4 linked regions of the Caenorhabditis elegans genome follow. The protein of the gene in region 1 purifies or fractionates together with the protein of each later gene. This does not show direct contact. Each region holds a gene or a part of one and is shown in the gene's direction. Other genes may lie near its edges. The genes, in order: F32B5.1, spig-20, aldo-1 and chil-10.

Region 1 (4,620 bases):
TCAATATCCTGGAGGCAGTTGGCCACGGCGAACTCTTGCAGACTAACTTTTAAAGGATACCAAACTGAATATCGAATATCTCCAGATCTTGGAGGTTACGAGACTTGCCAATCATCGATCTCAAGGCATTTATTTAAATTGTCACAGGGAATGAATATGGGAATCGAGCATCAGAAGAGGATTGAGTTCAACTCGACAAATCAAGAATGTCCGATTGTTAATGTGCCAACGGTGTATCCGGTAGGCTTGGGTTTTTTTTTAGAAGTCATCTAAAGTCTTTTCCCATATGAAATCGGCAAAATTGCCGGTTTGCTGATTTGGCGGAAAATTTAATTTTCCGCAAATTGCTAATTTGCCGGAAATTTTTTTTCCGGTAATCTGCCGGTTTGCCGATTTAGCGGAAAATTTCAATTCCGGCAATATGGCGATTTACCGGAAATTTTAATTTTCGGCAAATTGCCAATTAGCCGATTTGCCGTTTTGCAGGAAACTTTCATTTCCGGCAATTTTGCCGATTCGCCGATTTGCCGGAAATTTTTAATTCCGCCAAGTTGCCGGTTTCCCGATTTGCCGAAAATGTTTAAATCCGGCAAGTTGCAAATCTGCCGCTTTTCCGATTTAACTTTATTGAGTTTTTGAGGTGATAAAACATTTTGGAATTTTTTTTGGTCGAAATGGTAAAAAAATAAATTATTTTTCAAAAAGTTTCAAAATTTCTTCAACCCAATCTAAACTTTTTTGCAGGAATACGTGGCATGCAAATTTACATCAAATGAATGGTACCAAATTGAATGGAAATCCACAATTCGATACGAGACGTTCAGAAATGGAGAGTATGGTCAGTTGTTTCATATTTTTGTGAAAAATCAGCAGCTCCAATTTTCAGGCACGTATTGGGCAAATGATACTCAGAACTTTATAGTCAAGATGAGCGAAGAAATGAGGAGAAATGGATCAGAACATGTTTGGCTGAAACGATTACTGAAAATTGAATCGAGGTGGGTGAATTTAGAAAAAAAAATGGGAATACGAAATTTGGATATTCACATAAATCGTATTAAAGGCTTTATAAAAAGCAGTAAAATTTGTAGCTCTTGCTCTGAACACAAGCTTCCAAGCAGGCAACAAATTTCTACCCGCCTGCCTTTAAGAATGTCATCTTACTTTGAAGGCAACCTAGGTTTCTTTTTCTTTTTCGCCTGCCTTGTAGGCACATAAATAAGAATTTCTAAGTGCATCGAAGCCTACTCAAAGCATACCCAGACCTTGTGGTTTTAATATATTTACCTTCTAAGCCTAAGCCTGATCCTGAGCCTGAGCCTAAGCCAAAGCTTAAGACTAAGCCTAAGCCTAAACCTAAGCCTAAGTCTAAGCTCAAGCCTAAGCCTATAAGCCTTCTATAGAAAAACAAAAATTTTGACATGGCCTACAGTTCAAAAAGAGATAATTCTTTATTTCCAGACTGAATGGATGTGACTCCACCGAGCTTCTGATCCGATTTGCAGATGATTGGACATATTCATCGAATAGTGTCAGCTTAAGTTATAGAATCTTCGAAGGATCCACAAAAATCCATTCCGATCATATTGGAACATTCGGAGTTGAAGGGTGGAAGGAGATGAATGTTCCGTTGAAAAGAATACCAGGGGATCATGAGATTTGTGCACAGGTAAAGGGTTTTGTAAAAAAATCATTTTTCTATACAAAAAAATTAATTTCCAGCTCCTGAACCCAGCTGTATCCCGTCACTACGTGTGCTCCAAAGTAGTCGATGCTCTCGATTGTCCATTTGTTCTGGTTTCCGTCTCCTCCGATAAATCATCTTTTCTTTGTCTTTTTGTTCTTTTACTTTTTGTCTGTTTTTGAATAGGTTCTAGTTTTTGAAATGCAATAAAAAATCGAAAGTTTAACCATTTCTTTTGTCCTGGGGATTTGGAAGGTTTTGAGGAAACAAGTGTCTAGACACGTCGTTATCATTGTGCTGACCTTGAAATTATCCAAAAAGGCAAGTTTAAGGATAGGTAAGGTAGGTAATAGTATAGTCTAGGCCTAGCCGAAGCCGAAGCCTAAGCCACTGAACAGTCTGAAAGTTTACCACCAATTCTCCAAAGATCGTGGCGAGACCCACCAGAATAACTTTTGATCTTTGCGCACAAAATAGGGTGCATCGATCCAGCGCAAAAATAAAAACAAGCTTCTCACGTATTTAAATTCAAAAGCTTGAGAAAAAAATTTTGAACAAAACTTTCCAAAACATTTTTTTAAAAACGTGACAATTTTCTTATCTAATTTCTAAATCTTTCCACGTGTTTTCCAAATGTCAACGTGTCATGAAAAAAGCTCAGATTGGTTATTACCGAAGAAGTTCTCGTTTGAAATTCGATTCTTCTCACTCAACTCTTCGTCTCGTCGAAATGGCATCGCAATTTCTCCGTTCAACAAACTCGCGGTATGTCGCTGGAGTGCTCGCTGCTCTTGGAGCCGGATCCGCAGTCTACACACTCACTCCACAGGTAATTCTAAAGCCAAAAAAGGGCAATTTTCAGAAATATTTCCTTGCTCCCTTTAATCAGGGACCGCGCAACTCTGAAGCCAATTTGAGGGGGCTCCCAGCGCAGCTGCGTCCGGAGCGGTATGCCCAGAACACGTGATTTGTCATCATTTTGAAGTTTGTAAATCAACTTTTCTGTTTGAGCCGTTCCACGCGCGAGCTGAAACTCTGACATGAGAATATATATTCTGGGAGTCGATTTTTCAGAAAAAGCTTTACAAATCTCTAATTATAATTTTTCAGCAACTTCAAGCCAAATCCGAAGTCGACGCTGCCACGATCAAGAAGATCGAGGAGGCCTACGCCAAGCTCAATGGTCCAGAAGGAGCCAAGTGCAAGTCGCTGCTCAAGAAGCATTTGACCAAGGAAGTCGTCGAGAAGCTTAAGACAAAGCGCACAAAGGTCGGAGCAACCCTTTACGACTGCATCCGGTCAGGTGTCTACAATTTGGACGCCGGAGTTGGAGTCTACGCTCCGGACGCTGAAGCTTACACTTTGTTCGCTCCATTGTTCGACAAGATCATTGAGGATTATCACGGATTCAGTCCAAAGCAGAAGCAACCACCAGTTGATCTTGGAGAGGGAAAGACTAAGGAATTCCCACCATTGGATCCAAAAGGAAAGTACATCAAGTCGACGAGAATCCGATGTGGACGTTCTTTGAAGGGATATCCATTCAATCCATGTCTCACTCAGGACAACTATCTTGAGATGGAAGGAAAGGTGAAGAAGGCGTTCTCTGAATATTCGGACAAGGAACTCAAGGGCAAGTACTATCCATTGGATGGTATGGGCAAGGATACTCAGAAGCAGCTGATTGCTGATCATTTCCTGTTCAAGGAGGGAGATAGACATCTTCAATACGCAAATGCCTGCAACTTCTGGCCAAAGGGACGTGGTATCTTCCACAATAACGACAAGACTTTCCTGATTTGGGTGAACGAGGAAGATCATATGAGAATCATTTCAATGCAAGAAGGGTCTGATGTCGGAGCTGTGCTTGACAGACTTATCAAGGGAGTTCGCGGAATTGAGAAGCAGGTTGATTTTCTAATAAGGCTCCGAAACTCAACATATTATGTTTTCCAGGTTCCATTCTCCCGTGATGACCGTCTCGGATGGCTGACATTCTGCCCAACAAACCTCGGATCAACAGTTCGTGCATCCGTCCACATTGCTCTTCCAAAGCTCGCCGCCCGCAAGGACTTCATCGAGATTTGCGAGAAGCTCAATCTCCAAGTGCGCGGAATCCACGGAGAACACTCGGATTCTGTTGGAGGAGTCTATGACATTTCTAACAAGGTAAATAAACCACGTTTTTTGTTGAAAAATCAACATTTCCAACTTTTCAGGCTCGCCTAGGACTCTCGGAATATCAAGCTGTGAAACAAATGTACGACGGAGTGAAGAAGCTAATTGAAATGGAGGAGAAGCAGAAGTAAACTGGAAGAAGAAGAAAAACTCGTTTAGTCATATTGTATTTCTCTATTAACTATTTAAATAAATGGTAGTAGAATGATTTCTATGTTTCTTTTCTTTCTCTCACTCTATCACCTACTTTTACTCTTTTGACTTGAGCTTGAGCACTTGAAACAAGTCGCTCTGAAAATTTTTCAGTGCATTTTTTCCCAACTTTAGCAGTCCGTAAATTGGCTCCAAATGTGAATGTTTGCAGATTTTTGATGATTTCTAGGGTGTTCAGGAGCCGGAAATCATTCAGATTCGTTTTTTGGAATTTTTTTTAATTTTCGAAAAAATTCTCATGGATTCAAAAAAAATTGAGTTTTTTTTTAAATTATAAAAAATTATTTAAAAAATTCTGAATGTTTGCCGACCCCTGAACATCCTAGAAAGCATAAAAAATTAGCAAAAATTCACATTTGGAGCCAATTTAGAAACCTCGAGAATTGTGAAAAAATGCACTGAAAAATTTTCAGTGGGACTTTTTTCCTGTTCAAAGTGCTCCTCTGCCGCTAAATTTTTTTCGTAGGGGCCTATTCAGAAGGCATAGGTCCGAATGGCATAGGTTATGTTCAGATGTCCGGAATTAAGTTGAAATACTTCCCTTG
Region 2 (3,173 bases), on another chromosome or scaffold:
AAATATACATGGGAAATAACGAAAACGAACTTTTTAAGATTTCTCAGATTTCCCATGAAACCTTTAGAGTTTTCATCATTATTTTCAGCAATGTTTTTCAGTTTTTTCATTAAATTACTTTCACTGATTAATACTGAAATGTAGTAGGAAACTAAATCACTGCGTTGAAATTAAATATTCATTGGTGGATTCATCAATACCGTGCTTTAAGAGCAACAACTCAGCAGCCACGTAGTCTACAAATTTAACTGTTTAGTCATCTGAACCTCAGATGATTCACAGAAAACGTAATGGTTCTGAACCTGAACTATCTGAAATATTGTATTTCAAATGATGTTATTTCCGTTTTAATTCATCTAATCAGCCTGACACCTCACAATCGTGATACTTTGTAAAAACGTAACACCACATCTAGCAACCGATGCAATGATGATAAAGAGATTGACGAAATGCAACGTAGGAGACAACAGAGGTCAGTGATTCAACGTATAAACTGGACCGCACATATAGAGGCGTACCTGAGAAAAACAGTATAAATAAAGAAAATTTGGCAAGAAATTCATCATTCGACTACAATGAACTCTTTGGCAATTATTTTGGCTTTCGCCATGCTTTTGGCAACCGTCGCTGCTGGACCAGGAAACCGTTACGGATGGCCAAGCTCTTACGAGAGATTCCTTGAGAGAGTGAGTAAATTATTGTTTTAAAATAAAGTTTTAAATAAGTAATTTACAGCAAGGAGTTTGGGACTTCAACAGACACGAAGCCCGTGCTGATTACAGAGGACGCAAGAACTACGAGCGTGACCTCCGTGATCTTTTCGACGACTGGAAGAGACAAACCCAATGGGGAGGAAAGGGATACAGATCCAACAGATTCCAACAACCAACTGGAGGAAATAGCCGTTACGGATTCAAGGGATAAACACAAATTTTGGCGTTTTTTGTTAATAATTCTATCGTTTTTGTCTTAGTTTTACAAAATCTCAAATAAAATTCGTAATTTTTTGTAATTATGGTAACTGCAAAGTGAACATTTATAAGGATTGCAAAATGTTTTTGAATTTCAAAAATGGACTTATTAACAAAACTTAACGTTTCAAACAATGAGTAAATTCACAGCAGTCTTTCACTGAAGTAAAGATCAGATAAAAAACTTTTGTTTTCATGCGAGATATATCAATACAGATGTTATCAAAAAGATAGAAGGTTCACAGAGGGTTTTTACTACGTGGCCTAAAAAAACCAGAACTCGGCCACGATTTATCTTCAATTGTTCACCTCAGATTTTACTAAAACTTGCCGAAAACAATCTTATGAGAGATCGTTCTGGGGAGGCGATTTTCGAAAAAGACCATGTTTTCATTTTTCGAGTACTTCTATTCAAAGCGACAATAATCAAAACCTGAAACAATTATTTCCAGGCTTCTACACAATTTTCTCACGTTCAGCTATTATCTGAGTTTGATTGTTGAACTTTATTCTTAATTTAATAATGAGGAACATACTTCCTTTGCCTTGGAATAATATTATGAAGTAGTTAATATAATAGAATATTATAGTTTATCACCGTTTGCAGTGGCACAAAATACAACCACAAAAACGTTTTTAAAAAATCTTCCAAAAAATCATCTAGTTGGTGAGCACAAATTATTCAATCACAAATATAAATTTTGGATTTTGAAATAGTATTACTAAATTGTTCATTTGAACCTGATCTATTCGCTATCAGTTCACTTCCCGAAACGCAATCTTTGTTTGGTGGCGTTCTGATTTGTCAGAAAACTGTTACAATCGAGATTGTGTTTCCCGGGTAACCGAGAATTCGATGAAAAAAATAGATGAACGAAGCGGCCGATAGTTCAAAAACACAATGTGAAAATTAGACATTAAATTTAAGAGGCGTAGCTTTAAAAGGAGTATAAATAGTGAAGGAATCAATGGTCAGGACATCATCAGTCAAGATGAACTTTACTGCCGTTTTCCTGGCGTTTGCCATGCTTTTAGCAACTGTCACTGCCGGACCTGGAAACCGTTATGGATGGCCAAGTTCTTATGAGAGATTCCTTGAAAAGGTTTGTCATACTTATTTTTGTTGAAAAATCTCTAAAAGCAAAATTATTTTCAGCAAGGTGTGTGGGATTATAACCGACACGAGGTTCGTTCTGATTATGGACGTCGTGGAAACTACGAGCGTAATCTCAACGATTTGTACGATGACTGGAAGAAACAAACTCGTTGGGGACAAAATGACTACAGATCAAACCGATTCCAGCAACCATCTGCAGGGTACGGACGATACGGATTCCCAGGAGGAAAGTAATTGTTAAAAAGTATTTCTTTTATAATTTGACTAGTTTGTTTTTCCTTCAATAAATGTCACATTGCATTTTTACCAGAAACATCGAAATTTTCAATTTTTCAATACATGTTTTCACAAGTTCACAAGGTCTGAAAAAATAATCATGACAGAAAAAGTTTGTCACTTTTGTCAAATTCTGGAAATCAGTTTTGTTATTAGATCCACAAGAGCACATCATGAATATTTGCGGTAAATTTCGAGAAATGGAACTCTCTCAAAAATATGGAAACTTCCTAGATGTTGAACAGACTTGAAGCCTGACGGTGTAAATGAAGACATTTCAATGCTGACTGGACTCCGATTCTGTGTACTCTAAAGCAAAAATTGGCATTTTTGATTGGATGGTTCTTCATTTTTGCAGAACTGAGCTAAAAACTTAACTTGTATGTTTTTGGAAGCTTCACAAAAGTGCCACTATCCTTGATTTTTTTTGCATTTTTTATTGAAAGCCATGCTTTTGGAGATTGTTTCTCCATGATCTCGACGGAATGTTTAAAATGGAAGCCAAAACAAATTACTTCAACGAATTTGAAGCGGCCTGGTAATACTTCAAAAGTTTTGGAGCAGGAAAAGTGCATCTTGTGCTGTTCAGAAATCGAAACTTTGAATTTGAGAAAATGACACTAGTTTGACTTTCAAACTACCGTCTCATAAGCTCTAATCACGAAGTTTCAAAGCTTGACAACAAAAAAATTTTACTGATGAAATTTAGGAGATCAGTTCAGTTCAGTGTCAAATATGAATGCACACATGACAGGAAAAGAAACATCATATAAATCGGAGGACATTGAAATGTTCTGTGACTATTCCAG
Region 3 (4,094 bases), on another chromosome or scaffold:
TCAAAAATATTGGCCACATTCATTTAGACAAAGAACAACTGTCAACTATGGGTCAACATTTGACAGACATGAGCATTTCACGTGGGAAATGGCCAGATAGAGCATTACCTAGAGAAAATACTTTTTTCTATGTTCGTCTTACACTTCTCATCTATCTATATACAGGAAGAGCTTTTCGATAATCGAGTTTTTCAAAACAGTTTGTTGCTTTTTTTTTGGAATTGCTTAAATTTTCAGCTAATTGAGAATACGCTTGGTTAAAATTTTAAAACTTTTTACATTCCAAAAGCTTCTAAAACTTGCCAGTAACAACTTTTTCTCAATTCCGAGCTACGGTTTTCCCGCATTTTTCAAACATCTTTTTTTTTTAAGTTCCCAATATTTTTTTTTCAAAGATTTTGACAAAAACCATTTTTTCCGGCAAATTGCCGAAATTGAAATTTCCGGATCCCCTCTGATTCAAACTCTGAAAATTAGAAGAATATATATGTTAGTCGTGATAAGATGTTGCTTTTATAGATTTTGCAAGGCATTCTACCTAAATTTCCAATGGTTAAGTTTTCTTTGTGCACATTCAAATTCTGGGTCCATGAAGAAAAAAAAACAATTTCATAACCCTTCTACGTTTTCTCTAAACTCTCACTATTCGCACAATTGCATCATGCCTCCTCCATATTGCCATCTCACGCAAAAAAGCACATAGCCATTCTCAAAATATCTTTTTCACATCACGTCGTTTTCTATTCGCTGTCTTTTTTGTTGTACCCATGTTATAGTTTTGACATAGAAGCTCATTTTATTTACAAAAATGAATACATAGATGTATTGCTTGTTTTACATAAGATCCTCTTCTTGTTTTTTTTTGTCATGATTTGTCGTAGATTTTGAATTGTTTTATTAGTACGTGCCTCGCATGTTCTCGTACTTATAGTAGCCTTATAGGTCTTACGAGAATGCCCAGGGAATAAACAGAGCAGGGGTATACGGCAAATTTGCCAAATTTGCCGTTTGCTGAGCTCGGTAACTTTGCTGAATTTGCCGAGCAAGACAAATTTCAAAAAAGTAGATTTGTTAAATTTTCCGAGCTCTGCAAATTTCGATATTTGCCGCACATGCCAAAGTTTTGACATTACAACTTTGACCAAAACCATTGGTTTTGTCCCCAAAAATTGAGTAAAATGACACAAAATTGAGTTATTTTGATAATTAATACAGAGCGAGTTACGGAATATGGCAAACGAAAATGCAGTTTACTCTAGTTTTTTTTTAAATATAACTATGTGGTCTAAACCCTATAATATTGGAAAACTAGGTAAATTGTGTTTTTATCGTAGGGGCAAGTTGGCTCATTTTCGAATTAAAAAAAAAAAACAAAATGTGCCAAGTAGGGTCGATTCCTCTGAAAAACGATTGCATCATTCCAAATTTCGTAATCTCTTTTACATTATTTCAATTTCAGACTACTCCAATGAGTCCTAAACTAGGCTCGAGCTCATAGCCCGGCTGCTCTAAGTACGCCAGAGGCATATGTCTGAAAAGCAATTTCAACTTTCATATCTTCATATCTCCGCACGCTTCCGTGAACCAAATCAAATCAAATCCTCCAACGTTGAAAAGTTCAAGACTTTGGCAATTCCTGCTCCTCTCGCTTCTTCAAACTATTTCTCACGTTCTGCTCCAACAGCAGTTCTTCTTCTTTTACTTCTCACAAAATTTCGTGCAAATCACGTAGGGCCCCTCAATTCCCTCTCGCCACTCTGCACGGCTTCTCACACACTCTTGCTCTCTCGCCAGGGGCTCTCCGTCTCCCTTCTCGGCGGTGCCATCGATTCGTTTGGCGCGAGAGAGAAAGCTCCGGCTCTTTTCACTTTTATCAGCGGCCCTTGTTTTTCACCGACTTCACTCTTGCACATTTTCAGGCAACTTCATTTTCTAAAATGGCTTCTTACTCGCAATTCTTGACCAAGGCCCAGGAGGACGAACTCCGCTCCATCGCCAACGCCATCGTCACCCCAGGAAAGGGAATTCTCGGTAAGTAACGATATTAAATTTGGGAAACAAAATTTGGCATTTTGTGTGTTACAAATCTAATCTCTAATCTCTCCAATCTCCCTGAAATTCGAATTTGCAGCCGCCGATGAGTCCACCGGATCCATGGACAAGCGTCTTAACAGCATCGGACTCGAGAACACCGAGGAGAACCGCCGCAAGTATCGTCAACTTCTGTTTACCGCCGGAGCCGACCTCAACAAGTACATCTCGGGAGTCATCATGTTCCACGAGACATTCTACCAAAAGACCGACGACGGAAAGCCATTCACTGCTCTTCTCCAGGAGCAAGGAATCATTCCAGGAATCAAGGTTGACAAGGGTGTCGTCCCAATGGCCGGAACCATCGGAGAGGGAACCACTCAGGGATTGGATGACTTGAATGCTCGTTGCGCTCAATACAAGAAAGACGGAGCACAGTTCGCCAAGTGGAGATGCGTGCACAAGATCTCATCTACGACTCCATCAGTGACTGCTCTTAAGGAAATTGCCTCCAACTTGGCTCGCTATGCTTCAATTTGCCAACAAAATGGACTTGTACCAATTGTTGAGCCAGAGGTAATTACCGAGAGTCGAGAGCCGAGAGTCGCACAGCACTGGTACCTACCCACCTAAGTTCCTTTTGGGGGGATGTAGTCGTAGATCGGCTTGAATGTAATACTTAGAACGGTTTTCACAGAAAATTTTAATATTCGATGCAAAACCCAAGTTAATGCCACGTCCGTTACTTGGGTCTCGCAGCAGTTTTTTTTTTGTAAAAAAAATATAATTGGCACTCTAATTAGTTATCATTTCAGATCCTCCCAGACGGTGAACACTGCTTGGCTCGCGGACAGAAGATCACCGAGACCGTGCTCTCATATGTGTACCACGCTCTCAACGAGCATCACGTCTTCCTCGAGGGAACCCTCCTCAAGCCAAACATGGTCACCTCCGGACAATCATTCACCGGCGAGAAGCCATCGAATGCCGATATCGGACTCGCCACCGTCACCGCCCTCCAACGCGGAGTCCCATCCGCCGTTCCAGGAGTCGTCTTCCTCTCCGGTGGACAATCCGAAGAGGATGCCACATTGAACTTGAACGCCATCAATCAAGTGAGCGGAAAGAAGCCATGGGCCCTCACATTCTCCTATGGACGTGCTCTTCAAGCCTCCTGTCTCGCCAAGTGGGCCGGAAAGGACGAGAACATCGCAGCCGCCCAAGAAGTCCTGCTCCATCGTGCTCAGGTCAACTCCCTTGCCTCTGTCGGAAAATACACCGGGGATGCTTCAGCTGACGCAGCCGCTTCCCAATCCCTCTTCGTCGCCAATCATTCTTATTAAATGGCCACGCTCAGGATCTCTTTTTTCTCATTTTTTAAAACTATTCAACGCACGTAGAATTATGTGTCTGTATACCCCTTTAATTGTCATTATTTGCTTCTCTAAGTCTCTTCGGATTTAATAAATCTTTGGTAGATACGAATGCACAATTAAAGAGAGATGTATCTTTGGAACATTTGATTCAAGCAGACAGACAATTGAGCGATGGCTCGTCGCGATGCATTCATAGTGATGACGTCAAGATGTCTTCTACTACTCACTATTCCTTGTAGGTTTATGTGTCTGCTCAATTGTTGAGAACAGAAGGTGCCTAGTGTAAGTGCGAGAGAACAATTTCCCAGTGGAGCCGTTTAACCTTGGGCAGGTGCGATGCACATTTTCAGATCGATATCTAACCAGTTGCACACTATTCGCAACGCATTACAGCCATTCATTTGTCCATTGCAATGTACTACCGCGAAGTGAGAGGATCTGAGATCTTCTATACCAAGTACTATGGTCCGCCAACTGAAAAGGATACCTTGGCTGCCAAGAACCCTTTTGAAATGTAAGTGTTTTTAAAACTAAATTTTCTAAATTTCCAATAGTAAATGTGTTACACCCTGTCGTTGGATTGTTTTTGTTTTCCAAGTTGTTTGATCTTCAGAAATCGACTAACCGAGATTTTTAAAAGTCAAACGAATAAATCAAACAAAACCAATATAAACATTTCCAGGATGG
Region 4 (5,448 bases), on another chromosome or scaffold:
TCTGAAACCCTGCCAACGGGGCAGCTATCAAATATTCCATGGAGGCGACAAGGAGTGAAGTACACAAATAATGAAGCGTATTTTGATGTGATTGAGGAAATTGACGTGATTGTTGATAAGCAAGGATCCACTGTTTTTGCCGAGATTCAGGGATATGTGAGTTTTGAGTATTTGAAACAAAAAATCAAATTATGCCTTCATATTGAACATACTATTTTGTCCTGTTTATTAAAACATTTTTGTAGAACCAGAGGTTTGCGGACCTTTGTAGTAGTATTATATGCCAAAATCTTTTAAACTTCAAAACTTAAAACGTATTTTGCGGAAATAAAGCGATTATGGCTACTGATAATCTCTATCAATTTGTAATTGTAGTGAATATCGGATTGCAAAATTGTTTAGTTCTGTGCACCTCTAAAGATTTAAATACAAAATTATAAATAAACCAAATGAAAATATTTTAATAATATAATACTTCACACCACCAAATTTGGGTGCTGACGTTTTGAACTAGCATGTGTTCTGGAGGTAAAAATTCTGAAAAATATTTGGAAATATTAAGAATATATTCATCTTATCCTTGACAAATTTCAGGTTGACGTTTGCTGTAAACTGTCCGGAATGCCTGATCTCACAATGACCCTTATCAACCCAAGACTTCTAGATGATGTATCCTTCCATCCATGTGTCAGATACAAGCGCTGGGAGGTAAACCGCTCATAACATTTATATCTTAATCACAATTTTTTCAGAACGAGAAGGTTCTTTCATTTGTTCCTCCAGATGGCAACTTTCGTCTGTTGTCCTATCATATTGCTGCACAAAAGTAATGATTTTCATTCTACAGATAAAATTTCTATAACTTAATTAATTTCAGTATGGTTGCCATTCCAATCTACGTTAGACAAGTGATCTCCTTGAAACCAAATGCTGGAAAACTTGACCTCACAGTTGGACCAAAGCTAAGCATGGGTAAAGTGGTGAGTTTTCGAAGATCTAAATCACAATCCCTCTAACAAAAACGATGTTAAGCTGGAAGACGTTGTTCTTGAAATCACAATGCCAAAATGTGTACAAAACTGCAATTTGGTGGCGAGTCACGGAAGAATCGCGTTCGACCCGACGACTAAACTATTGCAATGGACCATTGGAAAAATTGAAGTCGGAAAACCATCAACACTCAAAGGATCAGTTGCTGTGAGCGGAACTACTGTTGCAGAGAATCCACCAATTTCACTGAAATTCAAAATTAACCAGTTGGTTCTGTCCGGATTAAAGGTTAGCTTTATCAGCTTGAAGTGAATACCCCTATACTTGCAAAGTAAAAACATGCAAGTTTATAAAAAAACAAATCAAGTAATCAAATTTTTAATATGACTAGGAAAACTCTTGGTAGTGGTCCTAAAAATCGTCAGATATCAATTTGAATGACCAGGAATTATACGGAAAAATCATCCAGGAAATGTAAATTCTTTTTAAAATTATATTTGTCTATCAGCGCTGTGCGGCTGTTTATCCGACTTTTTGGAGAAGTGAGATAGAATTTTAGTGAGATAAAGTTTTAAAATTTGGAAACTTTCATTCTTGCCCAGTCTCACAAAAAGTATATTAGTAGAATTCAGAAATTGTCTATGTTTTTTAAAAACTTGGGTAGAATAATATGACCGTTCGACCGTTCTCCAAGTGATCAACAATCCTGTACCTTATTGGTTGCGGTGTTACCTAACCGACTTTAAAATTTTTTTCTATACATACATTTTAGTTAAAAAAAAGTCATATTTTCAAAACTATCTTCAAAATAAGCATGCTGAAACGCACAGACATCAATTTGTTTCCAGGTCAATCGTTTGGATATGTACGGCGAAAAGTACAAGCCGTTCAAGGGTGTGAAATATATAACGAAAGCCGGTAAATTCACAATTCGCACTTAGTCTTCCATCAACATTCTCTGTATCTCATCTTGGTCTCAACACTGCTCTTTCAACCAGTTTACTTAATTTATAAAATGGCATTACTCTTCTATTTTAAGGACTTTTTAGTTTATTGATTGTTCTTAAAATAAAATTGTTTTATTGTTTGCAAATCTTATCGATATTTCTATAATTGCACGTTTTTGTTGTTTGGTTTTGAATGCCAGGTTTATTTACTTTTTTTAATTTTTTTTTTTTAATGTTTAAGTCTAAATTGTGCCGTAGCTTTCAGGATAAAACGTATCGGGTATCATAGCAAAGTTAACAAAAAATGATTATTATACTTGCCACGTGGATATTGATATCTGGAGTCAGTGCTCAAGCCACTGGAAAAGAGCTTATCGAAACACTGAAATTCAAGCCAGAATCAATTTCCAAAGCGTCGATTATAAGAGAGCACGAGCAACTCAACGATCAGTTCCACATTCCGGACAACCGAGAAGGGCTCACTCAGCTGGCGTATATTACACCGGTTATTGAAATTTTACATAACAAAATAACTGTATTGTGTTTCAGTGGAACCGGCATGGCTACGAGTTGGCGGAGAAAACAGCTCACAAGCTGACTCACGTCTCTCCGGTTTGGTTTCAAGCCAAGGCATTCAGTGAAAACGGGAAATTGGATGGCTGCAAGATTGAAGGAACACATGAAATTAACCGAGATTGGATTGAAAAGCTCCGTGAAAAAAACGAAAACATCGCGATTGTGCCTCGAATTCTGTTTGATGGTTGGAGTGCTCAGGAGATGAAGAACTTGTTGATGGATGCAAAAGTTGCAAGACATTGTTTCGAGGATATCGCCAATTTTTACAGCGTTAGTTCCATTTGAAATAAAGAATTACCGTATATTCTCTATTAGTGCGGCATGCCGCACTAATTTCCGAGCCTTCCACGACTTGCGCACTATTAGAGACTGCCGGACTACTGGAGACTGCCGTACTAATTTTCGATAACTAATTTTCACTTTGAGGTTACTACTTTCGAGAGTAGTAACCTCAAAATTCCCTCATAAAAGCTCATATTTTATGTGAAAAGTAATGAAAATTGTGTATTTTGCCACCAAAGACTCTGAAATGCAATGTTTACGTGAAAATTTATGAGAAATTATTGAAGAATGAACAAGGATACCATTGTAGAATCCGAATATTTGAGGTGGCTTTCGCAACCAAAAAGAAGGGGTGCCGCACTATTAGAGACTGCCGGACTACTGGAGACTGCCGCACTAATTTTCGAAAGGGCAGTAGAGATGCCGCACTAATAGAGAATATACGGTAAATGATTGTCTGTCATTCAAGCTGAAGGGTCTGTAGCTGAAGCTTCCACTGGGCTAATGTTAAGCCTCGCTTGAAACTTGGACTGCGGCCGGTAATCCAGTCGTGGATTGCTCCACTTCTCAGTTATGGACAAGTGGACCCATCGGGATAAAGGGCTTGAACTTGACTCAACGACATAAAAATACCGTCTAGACTATCCCCGTCAGAAACACAAACATAAAAATCACCATCATTTTTCCAGAGAAACCAGTTTGAAGGCGCTGTCGTGGAGCTCTACATGCAAGCATTGATCTCTGTGCAGTCTCTAGAAGTAAAGGAGTTTATCATCGAAAGTATACAAGACTTGTCGAGGCAAATGAAAAAGTTGCATATGCAAGTGATTCTAACAGTTCCTGCGCCCCTGGAATGGAATAAGTAGAAATATTGGTGATAAGAAACTTGGGAAAAATTAACATATTTTCAGCCAACCCAACAATCTCGTGACTCCGGATGACTTTAAGAAGATCACAGCTGTTTCCGATTTTGTTCAGGTAAGTGGGAGGAATTTAAGTTGTGTAGTTGAAAACAACACTGTAAGAAACTTCTGTGAGATTGTCAATTTTTCAGATAATGACCTACGATTACCGGGGAAACAAACCAGCTGGTGTGGCTCCATACGACTGGGTTAGTTTTCAAAAATTTTATTCACTAAAATCCAATTTCTTGGGGTTCTTTAAGAATTCAGCAAGATTCCAGCAAACTTTTGAAAAAAACTAAGAGAGAAACACATTAGTTTCCGTGGAATTCTAAAAAAAATTATCTCATTTCAGTTTGAGAGCTGTATCTTCTACTTGGGAGGTGGCCACAAAACACTGGCGGGACTCAATTTCTACGGCTATGAGTTCTCCAAAGGCAATGTGGAAGCAATCACTGCGGATAGGTGAGAATTAAGAAAGAAAAAAGAGTTGTGCGAAAATGGAAAGTCTTATTATACTGTTGAGCTACATAGAAAAGAAAATAGAACAATGTGGAAGAGATTTGCAAGTTTAACAATTGTTCACTGGGAATTGGGATGGCAAACCGGACGTTCTTTTTTTTTAGTTCAATTTTCTAACTTTTTTTTTCACGTTCCAAATCTTCCAGATTCTGAACAAGGCCACCTTTGTAAAGTTATTGTAAAAATTGTGGAATCCGGAAAATATTTAAAAAAAAACAACTGTAATACAGAAACTGGATTGTCCAAAATTCGGTAAAGCCAAACGTTTGACATAAAATATTGCCAAAGTTCTTAAATCATTTCTTAATTTTATATATTGACAAATCAATAGTTAATTAAATTACGACAAATTAATTATCTTTCAGATACTTGACACTATTGAAATCTGAAAAATCCAAGTTGGAGTTTGACGAAAAGTCAATGGAGCACAGAGTAAAGACCTCTAATTCCATCGCCTATTTCCCATCACTCACCTCGCTGGAACTTCGCATCAATATGGCTCACCGCTACGATGTCGGAATTGCCATTTGGGATTATGGACAGGGACTCGACTATTTCACTAATTTATTGATTTAATGTTTCAACTTTTCACATTTTTCAGCCTATTTCATTTGAACATTTTAATCTATGGAATTTGATATGTAAATAAGAAGACAAATATTATACTAAAGATTCTTTCATTTTGACGAAAAAAGGGGACATAACGCTTGATGATAGTGTTTGCAATTTTGATATAAGAAAACATATTGAAATGCGTCAAGAGGAGAGACCCTCATACAATGAAAGAGCATGCACAATTGAGGGGTCAGCTTTGGCTCCTTCTTTGAATTCTTCCAATGTCAGTTGAGCATCGTTATTCTGGAAAAATTTGGAAATTATTTAATGCTCTAAAAATTTTGAAAGTGGAATTTAGTCGATACCACAAATTTGTTACTAAAATCACCAAACAACATTGTAAGATTTAAAAAAAATGGAAAAAAAACTCAGTTTTTAGTTTCAAAATTTTAAACATTTTTAGTTGCGTTTTAACTGTATAAATTTGTACATTGTAAACGTTAAACTGTGCAGAAAGTCTTGAAATGTTTAAATAATAATTTTCAAAATATCTGGCAGCTTAATACTTTGCTTAAAATGATAAAATCTCAAAAAAACAATTTGAAGTGTTTTGTTACGATGTTTGGCCATGTTAGATATATAACTTTTAAAGAAAATTCTTGTTGATGATAAGC

What was found.
Region 2: the proteins of F32B5.1 (region 1) and spig-20 fractionate together in Caenorhabditis elegans (co-fractionation; one large-scale study listed by BioGRID). This does not show direct contact.
Region 3: the proteins of F32B5.1 (region 1) and aldo-1 fractionate together in Caenorhabditis elegans (co-fractionation; one large-scale study listed by BioGRID). This does not show direct contact.
Region 4: the proteins of F32B5.1 (region 1) and chil-10 fractionate together in Caenorhabditis elegans (co-fractionation; one large-scale study listed by BioGRID). This does not show direct contact.

Annotation. Positions count from the first base shown.
Region 1 is NC_003279.8:2,698,090-2,702,709, forward strand, and holds F32B5.1 (arginine kinase), read left to right. Parts: upstream 1-2,330; coding exon 2,331-2,513; intron 2,514-2,527; exon of another isoform or gene 2,528-2,749; intron 2,750-2,794; coding exon 2,795-3,592; intron 3,593-3,640; coding exon 3,641-3,853; intron 3,854-3,903; coding exon 3,904-3,993; 3' UTR 3,994-4,069; downstream 4,070-4,620. Other genes in the region: F32B5.2 (Glycoprotein), read left to right, coding at 1-240, 745-838, 887-998, 1,462-1,669, 1,723-1,866.
Region 2 is NC_003284.9:6,084,178-6,087,350, forward strand, and holds spig-20 (Neuropeptide-Like Protein), read left to right. Parts: upstream 1-1,946; 5' UTR 1,947-1,963; coding exon 1,964-2,074; intron 2,075-2,127; coding exon 2,128-2,322; 3' UTR 2,323-2,390; downstream 2,391-3,173. Other genes in the region: C45B2.2 (Neuropeptide-Like Protein), read left to right, coding at 576-686, 736-924.
Region 3 is NC_003281.10:13,562,763-13,566,856, reverse strand, and holds aldo-1 (Fructose-bisphosphate aldolase 1), read left to right. Parts: upstream 1-1,919; 5' UTR 1,920-1,937; coding exon 1,938-2,031; intron 2,032-2,131; coding exon 2,132-2,607; intron 2,608-2,846; coding exon 2,847-3,374; 3' UTR 3,375-3,511; downstream 3,512-4,094. Other genes in the region: T05D4.2 (F-box associated domain-containing protein), read left to right, coding at 3,821-3,921, 4,090-4,094. UniProt on the Caenorhabditis elegans protein: May be involved in the metabolism of fructose-bisphosphate (beta-D-fructose 1,6-bisphosphate) and of fructose 1-phosphate.
Region 4 is NC_003284.9:955,686-961,133, forward strand, and holds chil-10 (GH18 domain-containing protein), read left to right. Parts: upstream 1-2,195; 5' UTR 2,196-2,241; coding exon 2,242-2,442; intron 2,443-2,486; coding exon 2,487-2,783; intron 2,784-3,484; coding exon 3,485-3,657; intron 3,658-3,706; coding exon 3,707-3,773; intron 3,774-3,849; coding exon 3,850-3,906; intron 3,907-4,052; coding exon 4,053-4,162; intron 4,163-4,584; coding exon 4,585-4,795; 3' UTR 4,796-4,883; downstream 4,884-5,448. Other genes in the region: apm-3 (MHD domain-containing protein), read left to right, coding at 1-156, 595-708, 753-826, 878-980, 1,033-1,278, 1,839-1,931; ncs-1 (Neuronal calcium sensor 1), read right to left, coding at 4,976-5,077.